Linked DNA regions of Callithrix jacchus. The protein of the gene in region 1 purifies or fractionates together with the protein of each later gene. This does not show direct contact. Links are inferred from orthologs where the notes say so. Each region holds a gene or a part of one and is shown on either strand. Other genes may lie near its edges. The genes, in order: TSSK6 and FKBP5.

Region 1 (3,532 bases):
TTGAGATCCCATCTCTACAGAAAATACAAAAAGCCAGGTGCAGGCTTATACTCCCAGCTACTCAGGAGGCTGAGGTGGGAGGATGGCTTGAGCCCAAGGGGCGGAGGTTGCCGAGATCACTCTAGCCCGGGCAACAGAACGATACCCTGTCTCAAAAAAAAAAAAAAAAAAAAAAAAAGTAACGTATGTATTCACCCTTAAATTATGTTTAAAGGTTTGTATTTGTCTGTTAAACCTGGGGACTGAGTATGGGCACCTTTTAAGTTCTCTTTTTCATTCTTCTGTGTTGAGCCCGATAACAAAATTTAACATGCTACCTAAAACATTTGAAAAGTTTAAGAATAAGGATTGCTGGGACACTTTGCAGGCGCGGGGCTGCCTGCAGGGAACCACCGCATCGAACTTCTTGTAAATTACCCCCAGGTTCCAGGTTGCGGCCTTAGCCTTGCCTTGGGGAGTCGCGGCCTCTTTTGGGCCTCAGTTTCCGCATCTGAGAAACCCAAGGGTGGCCGAGGGCCAGGGCGCAGGCTATGCCTCAGTTTAACCTACGGTAAAATGTAAATAATCAAAGGGACCAATCTCCTGGGCTGTTACGAGAAGGAGGCGGAGCTGGGAAAGCGCTCAACAAACTGCAGCAGTTACTGTTATTATTATAGAAGCTATGGGGGATCTCCGGACTCCGCCTCCGGTCACACCGCCGGGGAAACTGCGGCCCGCTTGTGTCCCCGGAACCCCGCCCCTGAGTCCCGAGTGCCCAGACTCTGAGACCCCGACGCAGAGAGATACTGACCTGACAGTCCTCGACGCGGCAAGTTCCGTTTGTAGTCGATGGGCCCATAGCCCCCCGCCGGGGGCATGTCCTGCTTCACCTTCGACGCCGCCATACTCACTGGATCCCGCACTTCCGGCTCCGGGCGGAAGTGACATGTGCCACCGCCATGATGAGTGTGGCGGAATCATTTGAGATCATCTTCCGCAGCGCTGGGAAGCCGCGGGGACTAGTGTAACTACTCGACCGCGCCTGAGAGCTCTGACTGCTGACCCTGGGTCCGAATGCGCAGCTAGGCTGCAGCTGAGGAGTCATTATTCCTTCTTTCCCCCAGACCGGGCGTGTCTCAGTCGCTAGGACCCCCTGGTTCTTGCATTAAAGGCCCTCGCGTTCACTTTGCTTCTGGGGTGTTGTGTAGGCCAGTCAGAAACTCGGAGCTCCCTAGAGCCAGGTGCCCCAGTTAAGGCCCCTTTTCCCGTTTTAGCCCTCGCTAGGGACTCTACCGGAAGCCCAGGGCTCGACGTAGTCACGGGCTGGGTACATGATGTTGGGGAACAGCTGCTGCTCGATTTCGGACTCAACCCAATCCCAGGAGCGGATTCTGCTCCCTGGTGGTGGTGGGTATCCCTCGCTAGTGGCCTCTCATCGGAAACTGACCATTCAGGGTAATTATGAGTCACAAAGCAGGGAGGCTAGGGTGGCCCCAGGGCGGGGTCCCGGACCCCAAGGCGGAGTGACGCCCGAGGCCACTTCACAAGGCAAAAATTGTTACGGGGCAATAAAAGGCGTAACAGCGGCCAAGGAGCGGCAGTGGGCACATGGGGGTGCGGGGATGCAGGTGCCAAGCGCCATGGGTTAGACCCGAGATTGGAGTCCGGCCGCCCCCCAACAGCAGCCGCCTCCTGCTCCGCGTGCGCCCCAGGCGCCACCATGTCGGGTGACAAACTCCTGAGCGAACTCGGTTATAAGCTGGGCCGCACAATTGGAGAGGGCAGCTACTCCAAGGTGAAGGTGGCCACGTCCAAGAAGTACAAGGGTACCGTGGCCATCAAGGTGGTGGACCGGCGGCGGGCGCCCCCGGACTTCGTCAACAAGTTCCTGCCGCGAGAGCTGTCCATCCTGCGGGGCGTGCGGCACCCTCACATCGTGCACGTCTTCGAGTTCATTGAGGTATGCAACGGGAAGCTGTACATTGTGATGGAAGCTGCCGCCACCGACCTACTGCAGGCCGTGCAGCGCAACGGGCACATCCCCGGAGTGCAGGCTCGTGACCTCTTCACGCAGATCGCCGGCGCCGTGCGCTACCTGCACGATCACCACCTGGTGCACCGCGACCTCAAGTGCGAAAACGTGCTGCTGAGCCCGGACGAGCGCCGCGTCAAGCTCACAGACTTCGGCTTTGGCCGCCAAGCTCACGGTTACCCAGACCTGAGCACCACCTACTGCGGCTCCGCCGCCTACGCGTCACCGGAGGTGCTCCTGGGTATCCCCTACGACCCCAAGAAATACGACGTGTGGAGCATGGGCGTCGTGCTCTACGTCATGGTCACCGGGTGCATGCCCTTCGACGACTCGGACATCGCCGGTCTGCCCCGGCGCCAGAAGCGCGGCGTGCTCTACCCCGAAGGCCTGGAGCTCTCCGAGCGCTGCAAGGCCCTGATCGCCGAGCTGCTGCAGTTCAGCCCGTCCGCCAGGCCCTCGGCAGGCCAGGTAGCGCGCAACTGCTGGCTACGCGCCGGGGACTCGGGCTAGAAGCCCAGGTTCCCGCAATTCCTGCAGCCGAGGATACTGAGCCAGCGCAGCGGACGCACGACAGGCGCGCTTGAGGGAACCCAAGCTGCCGCGCGTTACTGCGCATGAGCCTTCTCGCTTCCCCTTCCCTCCCCTCCCCTCCCTCCCACCCGCCACGCAGGCTGCAGTTGCCCGGGTTCGGACTCCAAGTCCTCCACGAACCGGAGAGCTGGAGGCGCATGCGCCTCCGTAATTCCTAGCCACCGGGCCCCGTGAGGGACGAGACCAGAGGGGACAGAAGCGTTGCGTCTGCGCGGAACGAGCTCAGGTTCTGAGCGGAGGGGGTCCCTTCCCCAACCAGCTGAGGGTACTCGGTTCCCGATTGGAACCTGCAATAAACTCGCTGTTCCTTGCACCTGACTCTAATGGTGGCACCCCATTTACGGACCAGTGGGGAAGGGGTTGCTCCGTCCGGGGAAGGCGGGCGCCGGGCGCGGGTCTCCTAATTTTAGTCAGGCATGTTGAGGTTCTTGCTCCAAGACCCAAAAGGGAGTCGGGAGGATTCGAACCTGGACCTTTTGGGCAAAAATCGAAGGACCTTTGTTGTCTCCGGGTCATGATGGTTCTGTGACGCTGGGCTGGGGAGCAAGTAGACCCCTCCGCCACCCATCCACATCTTTTTTTTTTTTTTTTTTTTTTTTTTTTGAGAGACAGTTTTTCTCTTGTTGCCCCAAGCTGGAGTGCAGCGGCACAATCTCGGCTCACTTGCAGCCTCCACCCCCCGGGTTCAAGCGATTCTCCTGCCTCAGCCTCCCGAGTAGCTGGGATTACAGGCATGCGCCACCACGCCCAGCTAATTTTGTATTTTTAGTAAAGACAGGTTTCTCCATGTTGGTTAGGCTGGTCTCGAACTCCCGACCTCCGGTGATCTACCCACCTCGGCCTCCCAAAGTGCTGGGATTACAGGTGTGAGCCACCGCACTGGGTCATTTTGTTTTGTTTTGTTTGATACAGGGTCTCTCTCTGTTGCCC
Region 2 (4,492 bases), on another chromosome or scaffold:
TTGAGCTAAGACCTGGAGGACGAGAATAAACCAGTCACGTGAACATCTGGAAGCTGAGGGTTTCAGGCACAGGAAACAGCACAGCACATGCAAAGGCCTCAAGGCATGAAGGAGCTTTGTGTTTTCTAGGTTTAGAAAAAAGGCTGGGTTCAAATACACTACTCTCCAGTAATCCTCGGCAAGGATTATTGTACCCATTTTTTAGAGATGGAAATTGAGACTTGTCAGGATGGTTAGTTTCTTGGTCAAAATCACAACTGGGAGTACAAATTTTGAATGTAAAGCCACTATTTTGGGGTTATTTTGGTGTTTGTATGTATATATACGTGTGTTTTTTTAAACAAAATCATCAAGTTCAGCAACCATGTGTCCTAAATTATCTAGGATGGTCAAATTTCTTTTTACTTTTTTTTTGAGACCAAGTCTCGCTCTGTCACCGAGGCCGGAGTGCAATGGTGCGATCTCAGCTCACTGCTTCCTCCTACGCCTCCTGGGTTTAAGCGATTCTCCTGTCACAGCCTCCCGAGTAGTTGGGATTACAGGCACCTACCACCACGCCCAGCTAATTTTTGTATTTTTAGTAGGGACAGGGTTTTGCCATGTTAGTCAAGCTGGTCTCCAACTCCTGACCTCAGGGGAATCTGCCCACCTCAGCCTCCCAAAGTGCTGGGATTACAGGCATGAGCCACCGTGCCTGGCCCAGATATCAAATTTCTAAAATTCTTTTTTTTTTTTTTTTCTGTTTTTGATAGAGTCTTGCTCTGTTGCCCAGGCTAGAGTACAGTGGCATGATTTCGGCTCACTGCAACCTCCACCTTCTGGGTTCAAGCAATTTTCCTGCCTCAGCCTCCCAAGTAGCTGAGAGTACAGGTGCCTGCCACCACACCTGGCTAATTTTTGTATTTTTAGTAGAGACAGGGTTTCAACATGTTGGCTATGCTGGTCTCGAACTCCTGACCTCAGGTGATCCACCCGCCTCGGCCTCCCAAAGTGCTGGGATTACAGGAAGGAGCCAGCATGCCTGGCCCTAAAATTCTTATTGTCTCCTGGACAGTCATCTTGGACATGCTCTGTGTTCTATATCATGACTTCAAGCCTTGTCTTTGTCAGGTACTGCCAGTGAGATCCTAGACTAGCACTTCACCACTTTAAGCCTCAGTTTCCTCCTTTATAAATAGGGAGGAATTGTAATCATTCCACTATCACAGGTTTGCTGGGAGGATTAAATGAGAACATCCACATCAGAGTCAGCACAGTGCCTGGAACGGGGTACCTGTGAAATGAATGGTGATTCTTCTTTATTGTTACCTTGGAAAATGGAGGCCAACTGCAGGATGATCCTGGCTCCAAGGAGCCGGGGACCCAAGACAAGCATACAGAAAGAGAGACCAACAATTGGAGGCCTCTGATGCATAAGACAGGCAGGGGAGTGGTGGGAGGAGAGAGCAAGACTGAGCAGCCAGGAGGGCCTCTTCCCTTCCCTTTACTCAGCCTCTCACTCCTCTGCTAGGATCCCATATTGACACATCTTGTACTTCCCGTTTCCAGGGAAATTCCTCGCTGCCGGACTGCACCCACCCCTGAGGACCTCCCAATATCTTTGGGCAGAGCAGAAGCCAGACAGAGACAAGGACTACCAAGCAACCATCTCCAGCCCCGTGTGTGCAAGGAGCCCTGAGGGGCAGGCGGCCACGCTGCAGAAGACTAGCCTCTCCAACCCCAGGGAGCCTGGCGTGGGCTGCAGGAACAGAACGCTTCTCAGAGGAGGTAGGGACCCCATGGAGTACGTGACGTGACGCCTGGCCCTCCAGCTGCATGCTCCAGTTAGCAGGACAGAGACCCCTCCCCACACATTCCCAGCCTTCCCTGGTTTCCTGCTCTGCTACTGGGAGGCCCTGTCACCACACATGCGCGTGCATGCGCTAACACATACACCCCTCCCAGGCACCCCCGGAAGACCAGCTGCAGCTGGGGGTGGGGGGGGGTGCACTGAGCACAGCCAGGGTTCTCAGATCCCTAGCCTGCTCTCCCACCCCACCCTAGCCCCCAATTGCCGAGCTGCTTCTAGGTTTAAAGCAAAACACGACTCTGTCCTTCCTGCTGCTCAGTGGCAGCAACACTGCCTGGAGTTATTTTTAGCAGGGATGCAGGGAAGGCACAGTTCTCCTTGACTTTAACTAGGGACAACCCCCACCCCCCAGCCAAGACTCACTGGAGGAGGCCAGTACGGAAACTCCCCTCCCAGAAAGGGGAAATGGTGTGTTTTCTGTTCCTTCAATTCACTAGAATGGGAATCGTGGTCAAGCCTGGTGTTGAACTGATGGGAAATTCTAGGTTCCAAAGCCCATGGGCTCTGCCCCATCCTTGGCCTCTATGTTTCCATGAATCCGGGAAGCGAGAGGCACATGGTGTCTGGAGTTGAGGTGCCCTGTCTGTGGGTGCTGGGGTCCCTGGGAAACTGCTTGGTTATATCCAAGCTCTGTGGATTACACAGGGGCACCAGGTATCGTGGGTGGTGTTTCACAGGCGCTGGCTAAATAATTCATTAAACTGAACATGTATGTTTCATGTACTTTTCCATATGTGTATCTTTTAGATGCTAGCAGTACTTTATGAGGTATAATCAACATACATTCCACATACAGTAAAATGCATAAATCTTAAGTGTACAGCTTGATGAATTTTGACAAATATATATGCCTATGTAACCATCACCTAGATCAAGATTTCAGACATTTTCACTACCTCCAAATGCCTTTGTGTCCCCTTCCAGTCAGTCTCCGCCCCAGAGGCAACTGATTCCGACTTCTACCACCATAGATCGTGTGTGTGTTTCACAAAGTTAAAGAAATACAGCTGCTGTCACGGAAGAGGGAAATGAGCAATAAAGTTCTTAACATGAAAGGAGGGGGCCTCAAAAAAAGGGGTTATTGCAACTGGAAAAATGAAGGTATCATTGGCCTGGGAAACAGGAGGTTTCAGAGCCAGCCCAACCCCTCAGGGTTGGGACCAGAAGGCTTGGGACACTTCTTGAAGCAGAGAAGCTGTGAGTGGGGAGGGAGCAAGGGGAGGGCCAGTCTTGGCTCAGGCCTAGCTGCCTCTGGGTCTGCTAGAGGTCCCTGCCCCTCCTCCAGGCCCTGACCACTGCACAGTTTCAGCAAGGCCAAGGCTGCAAGGAAAGGTTCTCTCAGGGGCATCCACCCAGAGGCAGAGTTTAGGGCCCCCATGTAGTTAAGTTATTTGTTTTCCTTGACTTCCTTTTCAAGGTCTGGGACTCCTGCATCCTTTGTCCTGCCTGGGGCGGGGAGAGGCTGAGGCTGTCAAAGCAGAGTGCTAAGGAAGAGTCATGATGCTTTTCATTCTTTCCTTCCTTTCTTCATTCAAAAACAGTTATTTGAGCACCCGTGTAGTGCTATAGATTCTGCCGGGTGCTGGGCATAGGAGAATAAGCCACATTTTAGCTTAGAGAGTCAGAGTTGGCATTTCTAGGTAGAAGCAAGGCCTTATACCTCCTTCATATTGGAGATGAGGGGCCCAGAGAGGGGAAGTGACTTATTAGAATCACACAGCTAGCTGCTGGCAGAGGAAGGCCAAGAACAAGGATCGATCCCTGATTGAGACTTAGCTGGGGATAAGAAAGCAAAGGAAACCAAACCAACAGCTGACTCCCTGGTGTGCTCTCCTGTAAGCTTTCTAGGGTAACAAAAAGCACTGACCTGGAGTGAGAGGACCTCAAGGCTACTGCTAGGTCTTAGAAACACTTCCTCTCTCTGGGCCTCAGCTTTATTCCATGAACATGCAGGAGGCAGCTTCTGGAGCACACCCTCCATTTTCCCGCCTCTGTGCCTTTGCTCGGGTTGTTTCTGCCGCCTAGAATGCCCCCTTTCCCCTCCTACTTCCTTCCTCTGACATTCTCCTAATCATTTATGACCTAATTCAAATGCTGTCCCCAGAGGCCCCGCAGTCCTTGGGCATCTGGAGAGTGGTGTCACCCAGGTCCCCACTACCAGAACAGACAGAGCCTCCTCCATTTTGCAATCCTCCCATCCTAGGGCACAGCTTTCCTTGGATATGGGGTCTGTTTTGTCAGCCACTGTTGGAGGAATTGAAGGGATTTCTTAGTCCCACCCTACACTTCCACATGCCCCCTTAGCTTTCAGAGACTGATGTCGTCCTTCCACTGGGCCTTGAAGACATTGTGCTTTCTGCTGGCCATGCCAGCCCAGGCCAGAGCATCAAACCTGGGCACTTCTGGCCAAGGTGGCTGCCCTGGGAGGTGACCCCAGGAAGGATGAGAAGGCGGGGCCTCAGCCAGAAGCATGGCTGCCCCACCTCAGTCATCCAGTCATCATTCACAAACACCCCGGCAGAAATCCTCCCTCACAACAGACACGTGGCTCCTGCTCCCACAACCATATCCAAACCCACTCCTACCTACCTGCCCACAGCAGCAAGTTTGCAAAGATGTACCCCACTGCTCCCACAGCTCCCC

The links.
Region 2: the proteins of TSSK6 (region 1) and FKBP5 purify together in Homo sapiens (affinity purification with mass spectrometry; 4 studies listed by BioGRID and IntAct, with this or other methods). This does not show direct contact. The link is inferred for Callithrix jacchus from reciprocal best matches to the Homo sapiens genes TSSK6 and FKBP5.

What each region holds. Positions count from the first base shown.
Region 1 is NC_133523.1:18,189,218-18,192,749, reverse strand, and holds TSSK6 (testis-specific serine/threonine-protein kinase 6), read left to right. Parts: upstream 1-1,578; 5' UTR 1,579-1,699; coding exon 1,700-2,521; 3' UTR 2,522-2,913; downstream 2,914-3,532. Other genes in the region: NDUFA13 (NADH dehydrogenase [ubiquinone] 1 alpha subcomplex subunit 13), read right to left, coding at 791-884. UniProt on the Homo sapiens protein: Serine/threonine-protein kinase component of the sperm flagellar doublet microtubules. May act as a regulator of sperm motility by mediating phosphorylation of sperm doublet microtubule proteins.
Region 2 is NC_133505.1:44,021,951-44,026,442, reverse strand, and holds the start of FKBP5 (peptidyl-prolyl cis-trans isomerase FKBP5), read left to right. Parts: upstream 1-1,497; 5' UTR 1,498-1,767; intron 1,768-4,492. UniProt on the Homo sapiens protein: Immunophilin protein with PPIase and co-chaperone activities. Component of unligated steroid receptors heterocomplexes through interaction with heat-shock protein 90 (HSP90).